Linked DNA regions of Rhinolophus ferrumequinum. The protein of the gene in region 1 interacts with the protein of each later gene in a biochemical or structural test. Links are inferred from orthologs where the notes say so. Each region holds a gene or a part of one and is shown on either strand. Other genes may lie near its edges. The genes, in order: TCERG1 and SF1.

The links.
Region 2: the proteins of TCERG1 (region 1) and SF1 form a complex in vitro, tested with the Homo sapiens proteins (3 studies listed by BioGRID). The link is inferred for Rhinolophus ferrumequinum from reciprocal best matches to the Homo sapiens genes TCERG1 and SF1.

The regions. Positions count from the first base shown.
Region 1 is NC_046307.1:19,544,586-19,554,870, forward strand, and holds the start of TCERG1 (transcription elongation regulator 1), read left to right. Parts: upstream 1-6,215; 5' UTR 6,216-6,257; coding exon 6,258-6,316; intron 6,317-10,285. UniProt on the Homo sapiens protein: Transcription factor that binds RNA polymerase II and inhibits the elongation of transcripts from target promoters. Regulates transcription elongation in a TATA box-dependent manner.
Region 2 is NC_046294.1:6,765,930-6,776,139, forward strand, and holds the start of SF1 (splicing factor 1), read left to right. Parts: upstream 1-6,233; 5' UTR 6,234-6,622; coding exon 6,623-6,992; intron 6,993-8,279; coding exon 8,280-8,408; intron 8,409-10,210. UniProt on the Homo sapiens protein: Necessary for the ATP-dependent first step of spliceosome assembly. Binds to the intron branch point sequence (BPS) 5'-UACUAAC-3' of the pre-mRNA. May act as transcription repressor.

The DNA.
Region 1 (10,285 bases):
AATCAGATTTAAGTGAGGTTCTAGTCCTGTCTCTGCCACTAACCGCGTATGTGACTGTGAGAAAGTTAATAATCGAACTCTCAGGGTCTCTATTTCCTCATCTGCAGACAAAGAATATTGGACGAGATGATCTGAAAGAGTCCTTTCAGCTCTTTAATCAACGTCTTTTGTAATTTCTCCAGGTGATAATTTTGGGGAAATTGTATATGAAAGATAGTATTTGAAATAATTGCATTATAACTGCATCATAAATATCACCTTTGCATAAGGGTTCCTGAGATATTGTTGTTCTTGTTTTAATTTTGAGAAACAGAAAAAAAGTTAATAGTGCGATTTTAGAGTTAAAATGAACTATAAAATACATAATTGTTTTTGATAAAAGAAGAAAAGAGAGAGCCCTGCAGCCCACTTCAGTAGAAGAATAGTGTTGACTTTACACAAGGGATATGATTAACTGCTTATGTTAATAAACCAAGAGACTGTAAATGTGTTATTATGTATTTTGGGACAAATCCAAAGTTCCTGAGAGTTAAGTGAAACTAGTAAAATGCACACACAATGGACTTAGATATAGTCATCTATATTAATAGACCAAGAGATTACAAATGTGTGGTTGATTATTCCAGAACAAATCCAAATTAGCGTAATCTTAGGGAATGTGATTATCATTTAATAAGTGGAAACCTAAGTAATCATATGGTGTTCTATTGGGAAAAAATGTGGCAACAAAACACAGAAGGTCAGCCTAGAGCAGTGTACTCTACTTTCTGGCTCAGAAATCCCAGGTGGTTCATGGAATTATCTTAAGGGTTTGCAAATTCATGAGCCCATCAACCATTCATTGTTGATTGAGTCAGCCAGTGGCGTCAGTAATAAAAATGACTTCCTTTCTGTTTGTTTCCTGTAAAGCAGAATAGAAAAGAACAAGTTTCTTTTTGAATTTTCTTCTAGCTAGAGAAATAGGAAGAGGTTCTGGGTAGGGCAGAGAGTTCCCCAATGCAAGGGTAGGCACAGATGGTCTAAGTGGAAGGTATATCTTTATTTGGAATAGAGAATCATCAGGTTCTCATGACTCAGTGACATTAAAAATTCAAATCCAGTAATTGATTGCCCTTGTTCTACTTCCAATCAGATTTAGCTGCTTTCTGATAATTTTACTTACTCTGTAAGTTTGCCCAGAGAGGAGGGAAATGTATGGTCCACGTGACAGTTGTAATTTTATTTTTTGTAAATTAATAAATTTGCATTCTGGTTTATGGAGATGGGTCTTTATGTGCTCAGTTAAAAGTGAATGTCCTTGACTTTGGGTGCAGCCTTATTTTGCCAGCAAAATCTATTTGGGGGACTGTGAAGCTAGGATTGCAATCCTTAACCTCATGTATTTCCCAAGGTCAAGGGTACATCGGGAGCTCGTTTGGTGCTCCTGTGGCTGCCTTTTCTAGGGGTACCCCTGTGTGCTGCTTGCTTTTATCAATGGGACGAGCAGCTTGTCTAATCCGCTTATCTTGTCGATGGACAGACTAAGTCATACATTATAATATGGCTGTGGTTCCCACCTTCTATTATTTGCATCATGGATTGCTAGCTATCTGGAAGCTTAAAACATATCTAAAAAATGCCTTATTTTTTAATGATTTTGGACTTACAGAAGAGTTGCAAAGTTAGTACAGAGATACTCTGCACCCAGCTTCCCTTAGTGTTAACATATTACTTAGCCATGGTACATTTATCAAAGCTAAGTGGTACGATAGTAAGTAAACTAACTATATTTTATTCAGATTTCCTCGGTTTTCCCCACTAGTGTCCTTTTCCTCTTCCCAGATGCAATCCACGATACCCAATTGCATTAGTTGTCATATTTCCTTTGCTGCTTTAAATCTGTGACAGCTGCTCAATCTTAACCTGTCTTTCACGACTTAGACACTTTTGAAGAGTATTGATCAGATAATTTATAGAATGTCCCTCAATTTGTGTTTGCTTAATGTTTCCTCAGGGTTAGACAGAGGTTATGGATTTTGGGGAAGAATACCACAGAGGTGAAGAGCCCTTCTTATCACATCCTATCCGGGGTGCATGCCATTCCTGAAGATGCTAACCTCGATCACTTGGTTAATATGGCATCTGCCAGGATTCTCCACTGGAAGTGTCACCTCTGTTAGGTAGAGTCACTAAGTTCAACCTGTGATATTGTGGTTTATAAGCAATATGTATTTGGTCATTCAGATCGAAGAAAGAGTGAAGATGGTGAATATATAAAATGGAGTCATTTTAACCAAACTGTTAAAATTATTAACAATATGAAGTTCAGCTGTCGCATGAAGAAAGACTCCATTCTTTTTCTAACTAGCCTGGGAACTTAAACTTTTTTGAATTTTCCAGTCCTGCATCAATGCCTGGATATACATCTGGACCTCCAGGTAACCCTCTATTTAACCCTCTAGTTATCTAGTGTATGTGAAGGACTCACATATACATCCACATGACATCCATTATCCAGACAACCAGGAAGTTACCAGACATCCTGCCACCTATCTTCTGGACCACCTGGCATCCATCATCCAGACTGCCTGACATCTGACTGATACCTGTCTTGGACTAATGCTAGGACTAAGAATGCAAGACTGATAATTTTCAAGAATGTACTGTTTATTATAAGAACTTTTTTCTTTCATCTTTGGAACACTCCTGGGTTTTTGTCTAGCTGTGTTCCCACTTTGCAAACTATAAGACCCTTGAATAAATCTCTATCATGTATTTCTAGCAAAGCCTCCAGACTTTTTTTGAGTTTGTCTGACAAGATGAGCAAAATATATTTCTCATATATATTTGGTCTTTATCCACAATGCCTGGCTTACAGCTCCCTGAACTCTTGGAATCTCCTAAGTGTTGAGAGTGAAACAAATAAAGAAGCTGAAGCTATGAGAAATCAAGTAACTTGCTTGCCCAGGATTACACAGCCATTAGTTAGTAGAGGCAGGACTAGACTCCTCATCTCATTAATTCCAAAGCTGTTAACAACTGCTACCCAAACTGCCTGTGAGGCAGCCAGCAGGTGTATCTGGTCAGGCATTTTCCATTTCTGAGATCTCTTTAAATGTTTCAAAGACCAATATATCCAGTAAGGAGTAATATAGCTGCACAGTACAGTCGACAGTGCTGGCCTTACATGTGCATGCATACTTCACTAGGGGCTGGAGATTCGGTGAGGAAAGTAGAGAGTCTTTTAAAAGTATTTACAGTCTACAGAAAAGAGAAAGAAATGATACATTAGCTATGCTACCTTTCTGGCTTGAGTGAGACAGGGATTTAGCTGTCCCCAATTGGCTTTGGTGTGAGATACACCTGCCCTTGAATCCTAGCTTCACCTCTTATTACCGGTGTGAATGCCAATTTGCACCAGTTATGTAATGTCTCTGAGCCTCAGCTTCCCCATATGTAAAATGCGGGACAATATGTGTGCCTTAAAGGGCCGTTAAGGGTATTAAAAAGAGTGTGTGCAAAATATCTACCATGGGTTTAAGATAGGTGTTCAAAAATGGTAGTTATTAAAAAGAAAAGCCTGATTCAGCATTGGAACCTCTTCTCAAGAGTCACTTCTGAGGAGTGACTTCATAGCCAGGACTTAGAGCCTTGATGATATTAATTTGTCTTAAGCCAACCCTGTTTCTTTACCTCACTTGGTATACTAAGTTTTGGGGTCTATAATTCAATTGCCGTCAATTGGGCAAGGACAGTATTTGTTTTTCTGTTCTCTATAGCTATGCACATTTTTAGTACCCTGAGATATATCAAGCTTTGATGACAGGAAAATCCATTTGGTTTTTTAAAAGATATTATACATTGAGTCTCTTTAATTATTTTCTTCACGTTGATTCAATAAAATGGTTCACTGTAGACACAGCTCAGATTAGATATTTGCGGTATTTTTATATAGCTATTGAGTACTGAATTTCAAGGATATGTTTATGTGAGTAAACTACAGCAATGAAACACTGAAATGATTTTCTATATATGTATATAATCATATGCATATACATAGTCACATGTATACAAGCCTGCTCTATATAAAAATAATACAAGATATAAATATCTTAAAATATATATAGATATACAAACACAATGCAATTATCAAATAATAAAACTTTTATTACATCTGCAAGGAGTTTCTTTCATTCATTCAAACTGACTGTTTTCATCTTTTATGTATGCCTTTGACAGGATTTCTATAAGGGATCCATTTTGAATTTTTTTTTCCAGCACTGGGGATTAGTTTTTTATGAGCTTCAATACCAGTATTATTTTTTGAGTAGTTTGGCAGTACTTGGGGATGCATGCTGATGTTGAAAAAAGGGATTTAACCTCCCACTCTTAATCAGACTCCGGTTTTTCAAATGTCATATATTTAATGAAATTTCAATCATCTTTTCCTTCTCCAATTTCTTATGCTCAAAACTGTGTTCAGTTCTTATCATATTTTGTCACATTTAATTGATTTTGAATATTTAACTGGGATTCAGCATAACATTGTATTTACTGAATTATAATTCACATACAATAAAATTCACATTTTAAAGTGTATAATGCAATGAGTTTTAGTATATTCACCAACTTGTGCAATCATCACCACTATCTAACTTCAGAACATTTTCATCAACCCCACAGAAATCCCATACCCATTAGCTATCACTCTCTCCTTCTCCTGGAAACCACTGATCTACTTTCTGTCTCTGGGGATTTGCCTATTCTGGACACTTCATGGAAATGGAATAACACAATATGTATCTTTTTGTGTCTGGCTTCTCACTTTGCATAATGTTTTCAAGGTTCATCCATGTTAAAGCATGTAGTGGTGCTTCATCACATTTTATGGCTGAATAATATTCCTTTGTATGGATATACCATGTTTCTTTATTCACTCATCAGTTGATTTGATGTTTGGGTTGATTCCACGTTTGGCTATTAAGAATAATGCTGCTATGAACATTTGTGTATGAGTTTTTGTATGGATGTATGTTGCCAATTTTCTTGGCTCAGGATGTTTAGAAATAAGGCTTTGCTGTTATTATTGCCTTGTCTGCCATTTACAAGCCACGTGAACTTGGACAAGTTACTTTTCTGTGCCTCAGTCGCATTTATAAACTATGGCCATTCATAGTACCCACGTCTCAGTGTTTTTGAGGTCTAAACGACAGAATGCGTGCAAAGTACTTAAGATAGTTCCCAGTATTTATAGTTAGGTCTGAGTAAATTTATTTTAATATTTTGAGCAACTTAATAAGGTTTATCTTCATTGTGCCTTTGAAACCCCAGAGCCTAAAGTATTTTTTGTGTTTTTTTTTTCCTTTAATAAGAAATAAATATTCAGAATTCCTTCTGGGTATTAGGGTGTGCTAATTTGAGACAAGTGTATTTTAAAATTGAAGAACAGATGCTTTAAACTGTAAATTGTGATGAAGAGGCTTATGTTCCCCAACTTATCTTAATGCACCAACTTTTAACACTCATCAGCCTACAACTAATTATTTAATATAATTTAGGAGGTATTCTTGTACCGTGTTTCCCTGAAAATAAGCCCGGGTCTTATATTAAGTTTTGCTCCAAAAGACACATTAAGATTCATGTTCAGGGGATTTCATCCTGAAAAATCATGTTAGGGCTTATTTTCTGGTTAGATCTTATTTTCGGGGAAACACAGTAGTTAACTAATTTATTATTTAATAACGTGGCTATAATCTGGTAATGGTTTAAGACTCCTTGTTCTGAAGAGTTGGGAAATAGCTCATTTTCACAGCAACTCTGTGATTGGTCTAGGCATGACTCAGGTCGATTTTTAATTGGCTCACGCAATAGAAATGGTCTCGGACTGAACCAATATCGCCAGTATGTGGCCAATATGGCTCCACAACTGGTTTTCCTGGAAGCCGGCAGACACGTGGCTACCGCAGGCCGTCAGTACGTGGGAGGACCTAGTTTTGCCTACCACCAGAGGGCGCCCGCAGTTCCTCGTTGCTTAAGTCTCATTTCCCATAAAGCCTCCGGGCGACCAATCAACCGGCTGTCTCCTTACCGCTTTCAAAGTCGGCGGGCGCTTTCACCAATAGTAAGGCAGATGCCGCCCTCAGCTCTAGGATTGATGGAAAGTATCACCAATCATTTCACAGATCCCTAATGTCTCCGCCTCTCTCGCACGGGATTGATGATCCGTCCGGCCAATAGTGGACGTCGAGTCGGCGGGTGGATGAACGCGGCCCTCTGTAATGGCGGAGCGTGGCGGGGACGGGGGGGACGGTGAGCGATTCAACCCGGGGGAGCTCAGGTAAGGGGCCCCGCTCTTTATTACTTCTCAGCATGCTGGAGTCCCGGGATGGGCCCGCCGCGCGAAGATGAGGGGTGGAGGGTGGGCAGAGGAGCCGCGGCGGCTCGGGGCCAGGACCGCATGGGGTTGGAGAAGGGGGAAGGGGAAGGTGGCTTGAATGAGAGAGCCGGGCTGGGACTGGGCCGCGGCCTCCTGCGTGTTCTCGGGGAGCTCCTTGTGGTTTTCGCGGCCCCAGCGCTTCTGGCGGCTGCGGCCGGGAGGCCGGGCCAGACATTCCCGCCTCGGGGCCCCTCCTCAGCCTCATGCCCCCTCCGCCTCGGCCCACCACAGCCTCCCTCTCGGCTCGCGCCTCCGCGGGCCCGCTTTGCCTTACGGACACCTCTCCACTCCGCAGTTAACTCCCTGAGACCCCTCACTACTTCTGACTCAGCCTTCTCCACGCCCTACGCGGCCCTTTGGAGGTTTCTACTTTTGCCCGGTTCCTTCCGTACGTCGCTTGCTCTTAATGTCTTGTGGCTTTTCCTCTAATCTTTTTATCCCGTATCCCGTATTTGTGAATAATAACAATAGCAGCCACCGTTTGTCACTTACTTCTATATGCCAACGAGCCCTTTACTTAGAGTTGTCTCATTTAATCCTCACAACCGACCTTCGGAGTAGTTGCTTTTCGCATTTTGCATGCCACAGACCAGAGCCACCTTAAGTTACTCGTAAGTCCATTTTACAGGTGAGAAAACTGAGACTGGCATAGGTTGAGGAAGTAGAAGAACAAGGTCTCATAGGTGAAACTGTGGCTCCTGGAAATGGCTTGAACCCAGACAGTCAGGCTCCAGAGCCTGCAGCCTCAATCGCTGTGTCTGCTCACGCCTTCGCCCTAAAGAGTACAGTGAGCTTTCTTCTTCTGGTGTCTCATTGCCTATGGAATTTTCTAATTAAGATTTGGGAAAGTGAAAGTGTCTTGGAAAAGTCTTTAGTCAGTGGTTTTTGAGGAAAAAGAGGTACTAAGCTTTATGTATCTTTGATACATTTTTTTTTTTTCCGTGGATGGGGAAAAATGTCATTTCAGATGTTCAGCTCCCATTCTGAATTGTGCCATTGTCAGCATTTGAAACTAAAACAGACCAGTGTAGGTTACGAGCAGTGTATAGTACTGTCTAGAGCTCAAGATGAAATTGTATAAAAAATGAGCTCAAGGTTTTAGGGCAAAAATATATATATATAATGGCTTTTAGTTTCTGAATTGTCACACACAAAAATCCTTACTTTGGCAGGAGTAAAATTTTGTCTTACTTCAGAGATGAATCTCAAATCCTTTAAACCCCACGTTTTTACTTTAGTAATGAGTGATCAGTGTGCACTGCCAGGGCTTTTCTGTATCAGTGGTGGAAGGTTTATTCCTGACTCTGATCTCAAGAGAAGGATACTTAGCTAGTTTCATATGGATTTACGTGGGAACAGTACTTTGCGTTTTTGAGTATCTTTCTTCAGCTTTACAAGGAGTAGCCTTTTCATTTTATTAATAGTCATTCAGACTTTGTACTAAACTGATTTGAATATGTCCTTAAATTAGATGTTTTGTTGCAAATATGTAGCCTCTTGGGTTGGAGGTTGCTTCCAGAGCATATTGTACAGACCTTTATTTCAGCATTTCTCATGGTTTAAGAGAAATTAGCTGTTTATCTGGCCTCTTTGATGGTAGAAATTGGGGCTTAGTGTTTGTATTTGTATCCTGAAAGTATTTCGTTGTGTGTCTGTCATAGTACCTAGCAAATAAGGTGTTCAGTGAATATATAGTAAACAAAGGAATATAGGTGATTTTGAGATGGTTCACTTAGTAGACCCATGAATGTGTGCTATGTGCAGTCACCGACCTAGGTGACTTGAACTAGACCAAAATCCTTTGTCCTCAAGGAGCTTCCATGCTAATTAAGATTGTTCTAAATTCTGAACTAATCACATCCAATGAGGAAATCATCCTGCAAGTTTGAAGTGACTTGTACAAGGTCACTGAGTAATTGGCAGAGTCTGGATTAAAACCGAGGTCCCTTCCCACATGTCAGCAGCACTTTTCCATTTTTGCCCCGCCTATTAAACTATTTGCAGTTTTGTCTTCACCATTGGGGAGATTGCATATGTGGATAGAGTACTTCTAGAGAAACACATTTGTTCTTGTAAAAAAATTTTTTTGTTTCTATTTATGCGGTAGGCTTCTGTTTTCTGAAAAGGTTTTAAGTAATAGGAATGCAAATAACTTACAATAGACAGAATTTATTTGGAAATCCAAATGCCATTGATCTCTTTATGGTTGAGGGCCATTAAGATAACTTTTAGCATCGTATTTGTAAAGATTCTTTACCCAGGGCCTTTGTTTACTTATTAATACTTCGTGACTTGTGACAGGGTACTTGCAGTCTAAATTTCCTCAATTGTAAAATGGGAATAAGAATACACTAGTGTTACCATTGACTGCTGCCATAAACAAGTTATTTTTCTGTGCCATAGTTTCCTCTGTAAAAATGGTGCCAAACTTACCTCTTTGTGTTGTTGTGAGGATTAAAAGAGTTAGTACATATAATGTCCATGGATATATATCCATGCCTAGTATATAGGAAGTACCTAGTGTTTGCTATCATTATTAAAAAAATATTTGAACACTTACCATCCTCGGCACTGGGATGCCGCAGTATACTAAGGGAAAACTATGTATTAGTGAGTGGACTACAAACGTAAACAGTGAGAGATTTCTTCATAGCATTTATCGTACGTAATTGAAAACTCGAATTGGGTAATGAGCCACAGAGGGTCTGCGAGAGGCCAGGAGGGGGGAAAGAGTTTGAGGTAACACTTGAACTGAGACTGATAATGAAAAGGAGCCAGTTATGTAAGGAGCTGGGGAAAAGCATTCCAGGCAGAGGGAACAAGTGCAGAGGCTTCAAGGTAACGAAGTATTTGATCATAAAGAAGACTAGAATCTGTAGAGAGGTCAAAAAGGGACAAATTATGTAGAGCCTGGTAGTAATAATTATAGTAATAATAATAGCTGCCACTATTACTAATACTAACGCCATTTAACACTAATACTATTACTGCTATACTAATGTTACAGCAACAGTAATAAAAGCTAATACTTACAGAGCACTAATGTGCTAGGCATTGTTCCAAGTACTTTATTAGCTCATTTAATCCTTACTGCAGGTTCTGGTAGGTTGGTTGTGATGGAGCAGTGTTTATAAAGAGCTATACATCTGGCATCAGAAAATGGCACCTTTTAGGCTGCCGATGGAGGAAATTGTGTGAATTTTGTCACCATTTTAATGTCAGACTTTTGAAAGCCATCTAGTCAAACTGACAACTAAGTGCCTTTTACATGTAGAGCACTGTGCTAGGTTTTGTAGGGAAATCAAAGTTGAGATAGTTAAAGTGGTTTACTGCGTATCAGGTACTGTCCTAAATTTTTCACGGGGATTAGCTCATTGAACAGAGATATGAGATAGGTTTTATTTCTATTCCTTCGCTAATTTACATCTGAATATACTCAGACTCAGAAATTATGTAACTAGTCTGACAACAAAAGGCAGAGCCATGATTTGACTTTTCGTGACTCTAAAGCCGAAACACTTAATTCAAGCTATATCTAGGAAGTGTGAAATTCTAAAGAAATACTGTAGAATTTTTGAAAAGGGAGAGTTAGCCTCAAAGGAAATCTAAGATTAAGGTACATTATTAACTCAAGGCTGAAACAGAATAGCTTTCCTTGGTAGTAAACTTTATTTCTGCACTAAAGGTTAAGATGTTTCTTTAGTAATAGTGGTCATGTGTCTCTTGGGAGTGCATATAATTTGAAAAAGACTATTCTGATATAATCCATACTCCTTTTTTGCAGTCATTGATTTTAACTCAATTTTTTAACTTTGAGTATAGGATTGTATGCAAATTTGGTTATAGTTGGTATAGTAGGTCTGGATGTGT
Region 2 (10,210 bases), on another chromosome or scaffold:
TGACCTGTACCACCCAGGCCTGGGGCTGCCGCCCTGCCTCCCACCTGCTGCCTACGTATCAGTGTGCTCGATCAGGCCAGGCCTACTCAGTGTGGGCACCATCACCAGGCTAGACTCTGGCAAGATTAGCCTGTGTCCATTTAACAAGTATTCCCAGAGGAACTCCTCAGTGGCAGGCCCTGGGCTCACAGAGGGGTCACTACCAAGGTGTGCACCAGCCCCCCCGGGAGGGGAGCTGTCCTTGCTTTAGCCTGAGTCTTGAGGGCACATGCATCCACCCATGGCTGACCTTGTGCTTTGAATTGCCGTTCTCCCACGTTTCCCTCTTAGGGGGCTCCCTACCCCTGGGAGCCTCGTCATGCCCCAGGCACTGACCAGGCTGCTCTTGACCAGAGCCTTTGGGCAGGTGAGGCCAAGGGGGCAGGATGGCAGCTGGCCTTGAAGGAGGGTGCGGTGCACAGCAGGACCAGGGCTGCAGAGGGCTGGAAGGCCCTGGATCTAGGTAGAGTCTGAGCAAAGGCCCAGGGGCCAGCTCTCGAGTTTGGCCCAATCTCCCTTCTGATATTCAAGGCAAGTGTTTGAGTAAGAACTTCTCTACACCTGGTTGGCCATTGGGAAATATTTGACACATTTAAATATAAAGCACATTTAAGTGAACGAAAAGATAAGTGGGTGAGTGGTGGGTAGATGGCGACTTACGTGAAGCAGCAGCAGCATCCCCGTCCCAAGGGCCCCAGGCAATTCCATGGTTGTCGTAGTGTCCCCTCGTCCACACTCCAGCAGAGCCCCAGCTGCTCTGACTACCAGTGCCTGGGTTTCTCAGCTGAAATGGGGGTGAGGCCAGGGGAGGAGACAGCCCCTGTGCACTGGCTCAATGGAGGTTGGGAGGGACCTTCCAAGTTCTGAAGGTTTGTCTGCTCCACCTGCAGGGCATTCCATAGGCCAAATGGCGGGGTGACAGGGATATGATTTCCAAATTCCAATTTTTCAGATTTCTTGATAGAAGTGGGAGGTGAGCGGGATCCCTATCAGCAGAGACTCTGATCCCAGGTACCCAGGGACTGATCGGCCCCCAGAGCACCAAGCAGCAGACAGCGCCACCTTGTGGCAGGCTGCCGCAGCTCTGAGCAGCCACCCTTGTCTGAAAAGGTGGTGGTGGGGTTGTCAGAGAGTAATTTGCCTAAATCTGGGATCTGAGAAAAGCAAGAGCCTCTGATAAAATATTGGCTGCCAGAAAAGGCTGGCCAGAAGCCAAAGAAAGATCAAGAAGCCAGGGAATATGCCCTGAGAGACTAAAATTATTTTATTTATGTATTTTTTAATAGGTAGCCCTTGCGTATGGTAAACAATTTTAAAAAAATGCAAAATAGGTACTATGAAACGTCTCCCACTCAGGTCCCAGTTACTTCTGAAGCCTTCTGAAGTGTTTATGCATATGTAGCGGTCCTGTATGTTTCATTCTTCCCTCTTTATACCATGGTCTAACATAATCACACGCACTTTGCATCTTGGTCTTTAAAATCTACCCTGGAGAGCTTTCCATGATCAGTACCTCCCCCTTTGTTGTTTTATAGTCAGTGGTATTCCATTGTATGTATTTCCCATAACGTTAATTTACTGTCATTAGATCCCGATTGATGAAATTTTATGTTGTTTCTATTACTTTGATATTACAAATGACACTGCAATAAATATTCTTATGCCAATGCCCCTCTATATATTCAGGTGTCCTCTAGGGCCAATTCCTGGAGTGGCATTGCTGTGTCAGAGGGGGCCCTGTGTGTCCTTGTGATAGCTACTGTCAAATTGCCCTCCCTGGGCGGAAGCTTCCGGGATGGGTCATATCAGCTTCTCTCGGCCATCCTGTGGGTGAGTGGAAGAGGCGTGGGCACCTCAGGGTGTTTGGGGAGCTGGCCCATACACCAGTTAAGTGAGGGTCAAAAGGAGAACCACCACGAGAATGTGGCCATGTTCACTGGCATGTCCAGCAGTGGGACACTGCTTGCTGCACAGCAGGCCCTTGGGCTTGCTTTCCGAGGGAAGGAATGAGCGTGGTGTGGTGAAGAGGAGGCCCTGGGGTCAGGCCCCTGGACTGGGCGAGCTTGCTGAGCTGCATTTTCCCAGGTACATATCCTAAGTCTGCCTGCAGGGCTGTTGGGAGGATTGAAAATAATGGTAATATACAAAATGCAACAACACAGATGCATCTTGGGTAATGCCAAATTAAAACAGCAAGTTACATAAAATTACACACAGTATGATAGCAAGTCTAAACCACTTCTAGTTGGTGATAGATGCACATGTGAAAAAACTCCATTAGATCAGAAGCAGCACAAAATTCAAAATGATGGTCCCTGGGGGGAGAATGAGAGTGGGGTAACACAGGACCCCAGGAATTTGCAGAGGTATTGGTAATATCTTGGTTGTCAGGCTGGGTGGTAGGTTCACAGGTGTTCAATTAATAATTCAATTCCTAACTCACATAAGGTACACACATCCTTTTGTTTGTATCAAATACTATGTAATAAAACATTTAAGTTTAAATATTTTAAAGTAATCACTCAAAAATGAAAGCTCGATAATGGCTTAAAAAAAAAAAAGCAAAAAAATATAATGCCAAGATAATCCTTTCCTAGATAGTGAAATCAGTATTCTGTGTAGAACTGTGGGCAGATCCCTTTCCCAGTAGTTGCTTTCTTCTATAGTTTCTTTTTAAAAACAGCTTCATCAAGGTATAATCAGCATATAATAAACTGCATATATTAAAAATGTACTATTAAAAATATACTGACACATACACCTGTGAAACCATTACCACAATCAAGATAGCAAACATCTCTGACATCCCCAAAAGCTTCTTCTGCTCTTTGTAATCACACCCTCCAGCTTCTCCTCACCTCCCCATCCCCACGTAACCATTGATCCGCTTTGTGTCACCATAGATGCATTTGCATTTTTCAGAATTTACATAAATAAAATCATACAATATGTCCTCTGTTCTTGTCTGGCTTCTTTCACTGAGCACCATTATTGAGATTCATTCATGTTGTTGCATGTAACAGTCATTCCTTTTTTATTGCCAAGTAGTATTCTCCTGTGTGTATGTACCACAGTGTTTAGCTAGTCACCTGTTGAACATGTGGGCTGTTTCCAGTTTTGGACTATTATAAATAAAGCTATAAACATTTGTGTACCTGTCTGTGTGGCTGTATACTTTCACTTCTCTCAGTAAATACTATGGACAAAAAAGGGGCTTGGTAACAAACCTGATCACAGGGTGATCTGATCATAAATTCCTAACTGGGAAGATCACAGTGGGTAGTCATATAACTTCTTTACTAAAAGGTTTTTCTCTGCCTTAAGCCAGCCCTGTCCATCATTCTTGTGCATCGAGGTTAACACATCTTTGAAATGCCTCTTTTCCAGACCCCTCAGAGGTGTAATCACCCTCAAGAGAGCACATAATCTTAACAACGCCCGCTTTGCTTTCTCCCACCTTCACGTACTCTTCCTTACCTTTCTTCCTTAATTCCCAATGTATAAAAGAAACTGCAAAACTGTCATTCTCCAGAGCATTTTCTCAGTCTGTTGAGATCTTGCTTCCTGGTGTCGATGTAAGAATGTCCAAACCTGGGGCAGCCAAATTGCTCGGTTGGTTAGAGCATGAGCTCTGAAAAGGGTTACCAGTTCAATTCCTACATGGGCCAGTGATCTGTGCCCTCCACAATTAGATTGAAGAAACTGAGCTGCCTCTGAGCTGCCGGAGGCGGGACCAGATGGCTTGGTTGAGCGTGAGCTTGCAGTTCAATTCCCCCAATGGGATGGTGGGGATGGCTACGCCCCCTGCAACTAAGATTGAAAACAGCGACTGGACTTGGAGCTGAGCAGCGCCCTCCACAACTAGATTGAAGGACAATGACTTGGAGCAGATGGGCCCTGGAGAAACACAGTTTCCCAATATTCCCCAATGGAAAAAAACAATGTCCAAACCTGCAGAGAATTTCTGAGTTTATTTGAGCCAACTGACAACATGCCAGGAAGCAAGATTTCAAATGCTCCATATATATGTTACATATGTTACATATAATACATGTTTTATATATATGTTATACTGCACCCTTGTATAAAATCAGGAGGCATCTGATTTTAAGCCCTGAGTGATTTTCTGGAAGGCAGAAACTGAGTTTCTCAGCTCCTCGGTAAAATTTGTTGTATTTACTAAATAAATTAATTTTTCCTTCAAAGTATGATTTAAACGTTATATTTTTGCTTTCCTGTCCACAATATTAGCTTTGTATTTTATTATATAAATACTTGTTCAGTATAATTAGAATAATATACAGAAATAACAGGAAAAAAGGAAAAATTACCTGAGATCCCACCACCACTGGAAATTTGGTGATTGTCCTGTAAATGCATTTCCTTATATGTTATGTAAATAGGATCATGTCATACATTTTTAAAAAGTATGAAGCACATTTTAAAAATACACTAGGTTCTTAAAATGTTTCAGATTAACTTCCAGGTACCCTTTTCCCTCTCCATTGTCTTCACTGATAACGTGTGCTGTGTATCCTACCATAGCTTTGTCTGTACTCATATAATCATTGCAAACATGCACACGCATATATATGGGGTTTGTTTGTTTTACCAAAACAAGATCATATAATGCGTATTTGCTTTTTTTCCCTCATTTAAGAATAAATACAGCACATTAGTCCCTGTAGGTCAGTTGGTATAAACTAACTGCTTTTCAAGGCTGCCTAATTCCAGGTTATGGATATTACAGTTTGTTCAACCATTCACATATGGATGGAAACTGATTCCAGGTTTTTGCCATGAGAATATATTACATTATATAATCACAGGCCTTACTTTGGGGCAGATTCCCACGAGAGGGATTGCTACATTGAAAGGGTTATTATTTTTCCTGAAAGGGGTACAATTTTAATAGACAACAGAATGCTTTCCAAAAAAGAACTTCACAGTAGTAGGTGTCAGCACATTTGTCTTTAGCTCTTTTAATGGTTATATAAAGAGTTTGCTCATTATCACCTTAATTTGCATTTCCCTGCTAAGGGGGTTGGTATCCTTTCATGTTTTTGGCTATTTGTTCTTGCTTTTCTAAGACTTCCCTATTCAGTCTTTGCTCGTTACCTATTGATTTTGTCTTTTTAAAATTAGTTTTGAAGACCTTTCATATTAAAGATATTAACTCTATCACGTGTGGCAATTATATTTTTCTGACATTTTCTTTTGAATTTTATCACTTTGAATTTCTTTGGTAATCAAGTATATCTTCTCTTTATAGTTCGAGTTGCCTGTCTTCATAAACTCTACCCCTAGATTACGCCTCATAAATTGTATTGTCTGTTTTATGGTTTAGATTCAAGATTCCATACCATTAGCTAAAACTTACGGAACTGAAACCACCTTTGTGGTATTCTTACCAGTATATTGGTAATCTATATCCAGACTTTATTCTGTGCCACTTATCTGTCTTTCCTACATCATTCTTGTGTCTTTCATACTGTGTTACCTGGAAAGGCCAGCTCCTCCTCAATCTTGTTTACAAGTTTGCCCACTATTTTCAGTTATTTTATATGATTTTAAGATGACTTAATTAACCACCACCCCGCTGAGACTTTAATGGAATTGCATATGTGTAAACTAATTTTAGAATTGACTTTATGTTCTTTTCCACATAAAATTGTGTTGTTCCATCGGCTCAGGTGTTTTTAATCCTTCAATTAGACTATAGCTTTTTCCCCCCTTTTTATTTTTGTTCAAAGAAAACAGGAAGTCCTTTTTTACCTGCGGCGTCAACGGATCCGGTTTACGGGCACGCGCCGGCCCCACCCCTAGCCCGCGGTTCCGTGTTACCATGGGAATCGAGGATTGACGTCACTTTGGGCTTTCCGCTCCGGACCCAGTGAACAACCGTGAAGGTAGGGGCGGAGGCGGCTTTGACCCATCTACGCATGAGCGCTCCTACTCCACTCCTCCCCGCCGTAAATTTCGTACCGCCGTGGCTTTTCCGCAGCGACCTTTCGCTTACTCCCATCGAAACTGCTCCCCAGGGACGGGGAGTGGAAAAAGACTCGAACAAGAGACAGCCAATCCTATGACACTACGATGCAACCGAGTTTGACTGATTCCATCAACTGCAGCCAATGAGAGCGCTCTTGGCGCCTACGTCATAGTTTGCCCCACCCTAACCCCGCCTTTCTGGACTCCGAGCTCAGTTCGCGCAGTAACAAATGAAGTGCGCGCTGCGACACCTCCCAGCTCGCCAGGCTCGGCCGCCATTTCCTCGCCTGGCCTAACGGTCCGGCCAATCCCAGCGCGCATCGAGAAGGACTGAAGCTCCGCCAATTGGAGGCTGCCAATTCCGACCCTTTGCCTCGGCCCGGCCCAATCCAGGCTTCTGCCCCTTCGCCCCCGGCCCGCCCCCGCGGCGGCCTCTCTCCTCCCTCTTTGTGCGTCTCGCGCCGCCGCCGCCCGCCGCGTGAGAGGACGGGTTCCGCGCGCTAGCGCTGCGACTCCCTCCCCCCCTCCCCGAAAGATTCGCTAAGGAAAAGCCGCCGCCGAGGAGCCGCCGGTGCCGGTCCCCCGGGGCGCCATGGCGACCGGAGCAAACGCCACGCCGCTGGGTAAGCTGGGCCCCCCCCCCGGCCTTCCCTCCCTTCCCGGGCCCAAAGGGGGTTTCGAGCCGGGGTCACCGCCTGCCCCCAGACCTGGGGCGGAACTGCTGGTACCCAGGCCGCTACTTCCCCCGCCCGTAGGCTCGGTGGGGGCCCTGACCGCGGCCTTCCCGTTCGCGGCGCTGCCTCCGCCGCCGCCCCCCCCACCGCCGCCACCGCCCTCCCCGTGCTCCTCGTACCCGCCGCCGCAGCCGCCCTCTCCGCCGCCGCTCTACCAGCGCGTGTCGCCGCTGCCACCCCAGCCGCCGCGTCAGGACCAGCAGCCGGGCCCGGCCGGCGGCGGAGGAGGTGAGTCGGGCCGAGAGAGCGCGAGAGGCGTCGTGCGGACGGGCCCGGCCGGCGGAGGGGCGCGCGGCAGCGGTGACGGCGGCGGCTGCACGCGGCAGGGGCGCGCGCGCGCACGGGGAGGCCCTGGCGGAGGCGCTACAGGGCGCGCGGCCTGGTTTTCGGGCCTAGAGTGTTGCGCACGCGCTCTGGGAGAAGGGGGGGCGGATCAGGGCGGGAGGTTTGCTGTGCGCAGGCGCGGTGTGCGGCCCGACCAAACCTGGGGGGCCCGCTGTTGCTCTCTAGCCCCAGGTGTAGGGGAGAGGTGTGGAAGGGTTCGAGTAGGTGGACAGGGTGTTTGTTGGGTGTGCAGGTCAGGAGGGTGTGAAAGGGTCAAGTGATGACGTGGAACATCCTCTTCCTGGTGGTAGAGGAGTCTGAAAGAGAGAAAAGTACCCAAAATAGCTCGTCGATTTCGGCTGCAAAGCAGGGTTTTTCCACTACAGAGAACAAAAGAGGTTGAAAGTCTTCAGGGCCTAATGGGGTCCAATCTGTTGTGTCTGTTGAGGGAGCTTCTGTTTTTTGCCTGACTTTCCTTCATGTACCTTAGAGGATTCTGGTATACCTCCCCCTCGTTGGGGCTTCCACCTGGGACGCTGAACAACTTGTGTGTGTTAAATGTAGGGGATTTCTGCCTTTGTATTGAGGAAGGAGGTTTTGAGTGTTGTGTACTTTGTTCTTTGTTGAACGTTTGGTAGTCAAGACACTAAGTTCCCAAATAGCCAGGAAAATTGAATGCTGATCTTGACTAAACTTCGGAAGACAAAAGTGATCTTGTTGAAGAATCCAGCCCTAGGTTTAGTTGTGCTAAAGGTGACTGGTGGGGGTGTGGAGGTGGGAGGGGCCAGCAATCCTCCAATATAACTTGACAAATTTGTTTGGTTATTCATTCTATTCTTACCTTCCCTGGGGCTTTTAAAGCATTCGTGGGTGATGTAGTATTTATTTTGTCAATACTTTTATTTCTCTGTCTGAAATTTCATGCATTAAGATTTATTACCTTGTTTACATACTTCACAGAGTTTCTCTGAAATGTTAACTTTTCGGAACCAGGTCCAGGTCCCCTTGTAGTGGCCATATGTGTCTGATTTTTTTAGGTTGGTCTTGGTCTTCTGTTCTTCGCCACTTCCATTGTAGGTCAAGCTCTGTTTCCCAGTCTGCTGAGACTAATGTCACAAATATGCCAAATTGCCTGTTGATAGCTACTCTGCTGGTTTTTGTTTGCATCTGATGGAGTTTATCTGCCTTCAGACTTCCCAAGTAAGAAGCGGAAGAGGAGCCGGTGGAACCAAGACACAATGGAACAGAAGACCGTGATTCCAGGAATGCCTACAGTTATCCCCCCTGGACTTACTCGGGAACAAGAAAGAGCTTATATAGGTAAATACACGTTCTGCACCCAAGTGCAATTTCAGATCGTTACTATTGTGAGCAACATTTTATCTGTGGAAAGTTGGAGGCTTTAAAGTTTTCTTTTTTGAGATGAGATATGGTCAGGTATGCTTTCACGATTTTGACATAATTTTTCAGTTTTTGCTCTGTGAGTCCTGCATTTGCAGCTCCTTGTTTTGGTCTATGTATAACAGCAGTGTTCTCCATGAGTTCCAGGAAAGTAGAGGGGCCCACTTAGGAGTGAGAATAGTCCCCAGTTCAGCACCCCACCCCACTCTTTTCAGCTGCTGTTCATTGCCAGTTGATGAGGTGAGTGTCTCCTGCTTCTCTGCACACGACCCCAATGGAGAACACTGCAAGTGTTGCATAACCAAGTACCTTCTTCAGAGCGTGGCCTTGCACCATAATTTCATATTCCTCCTTTCCCCTAAAATGTGGTCTTTTACTTTTTATAGGTGCTTTCTGAAAGGAAAAAAACTCACTTTAATCAAAAAGTGGTTCTGGAAGTGTTTACAGTGCACCCCCTTCTTACCATTTCGTTGAGTTTTAACCTTTCCTTCAGCATCTTGCCTGGTTTGGTCTTTGGAGAGCTGTCTTAAAATGAGGGCTCTTATATTTACTACGAAAGAATTCAAAGAATTCTGCTGGGAAAGGGATATTGCTTGGATACGGAATAAGTTACTAGGATAAAAGATCTCAACTGTTGGGAAATTTTAAGAATTAAGAATGACTGTCCACAGTGGAAATGAAATTAACCTTAAAATTTCCTTTTTTAAAATACAAGGTTATTAATACAAGTTTTACTTTTATTTATGTACTTGTGCGGCTGTCTCAAAAAAGTTCACTTGATATATATTTTCTTACTAACCAAATAAACATCCCCTTTGGAATAAATTAGGGCAAAGGTCTCCTAGACCTATGGGTCCATGGCCTTCACAAAAAGCTTTAAGGCTGGCATGTTATTCTTGAGGCTCATAATCTCTTACATGTTTTAGACTGCTAAGAATTGGATTTGAGATACTGGAATTGTCTAATGTTCACAGTACTAATATTTCTTCTTTCCCTATTATTTCTATCTACTACCACCCACCCCCTTACGTCTCAGATTGGTCTGGGTCTTCACAACCTTGTGAAAATGTCCCTAGTGGAGCGACTTACAAAATGGGAAAACAAATTCATTCTTTATATGTCCACTTCTCTTCTTGTGGAAGGAGTTAATGCCCTGAGCTCTAAGGTCTATTTATATCTATAATAAAAGTAGCAAGAATCAAAGTGGAGGCTGCTATGGATCTCTGCTGTAAGGAAGAGAGCAACCTTTTGATTTAAGTGCCAGTTATTTCCTGAGATCAGACTCCAAGCCCCTATAATCTGGTTAAGAGGACTGCTGACCCACCGTGAAGGTGACTTTCACCTTGCGTTGTTGAGCTTAGTACTTGCCCTCCGTGTCAGAACTTCTCTGGCATAAAAGAGCTTAGGGAGCCCTGAGTCTTACTCCTCTTCTGTCTCTCACAGTACACACTGTCTTGTACAGAGTGCCCACCATATCTTCTGAGAGCGATGTGGGTTTTCATATTTTCAGTTTGAATGGGTGTGTGGTGCAGCCCTGTGGGATGTAGTTAGAATTAGAAGGGTATCTTGGATTAGACATGCATTAATCCTGTCTTGAACCAGTTCAACTTTAACCCAACCCAGTAAGACTTGCCCTTATTAGAGATGTCTGCTCAGAACTCTCAGGTGCTACAGGTAAGAAACAGGTGGTTATTCAGCACGCTGAAGAAAGTGATCTGGCT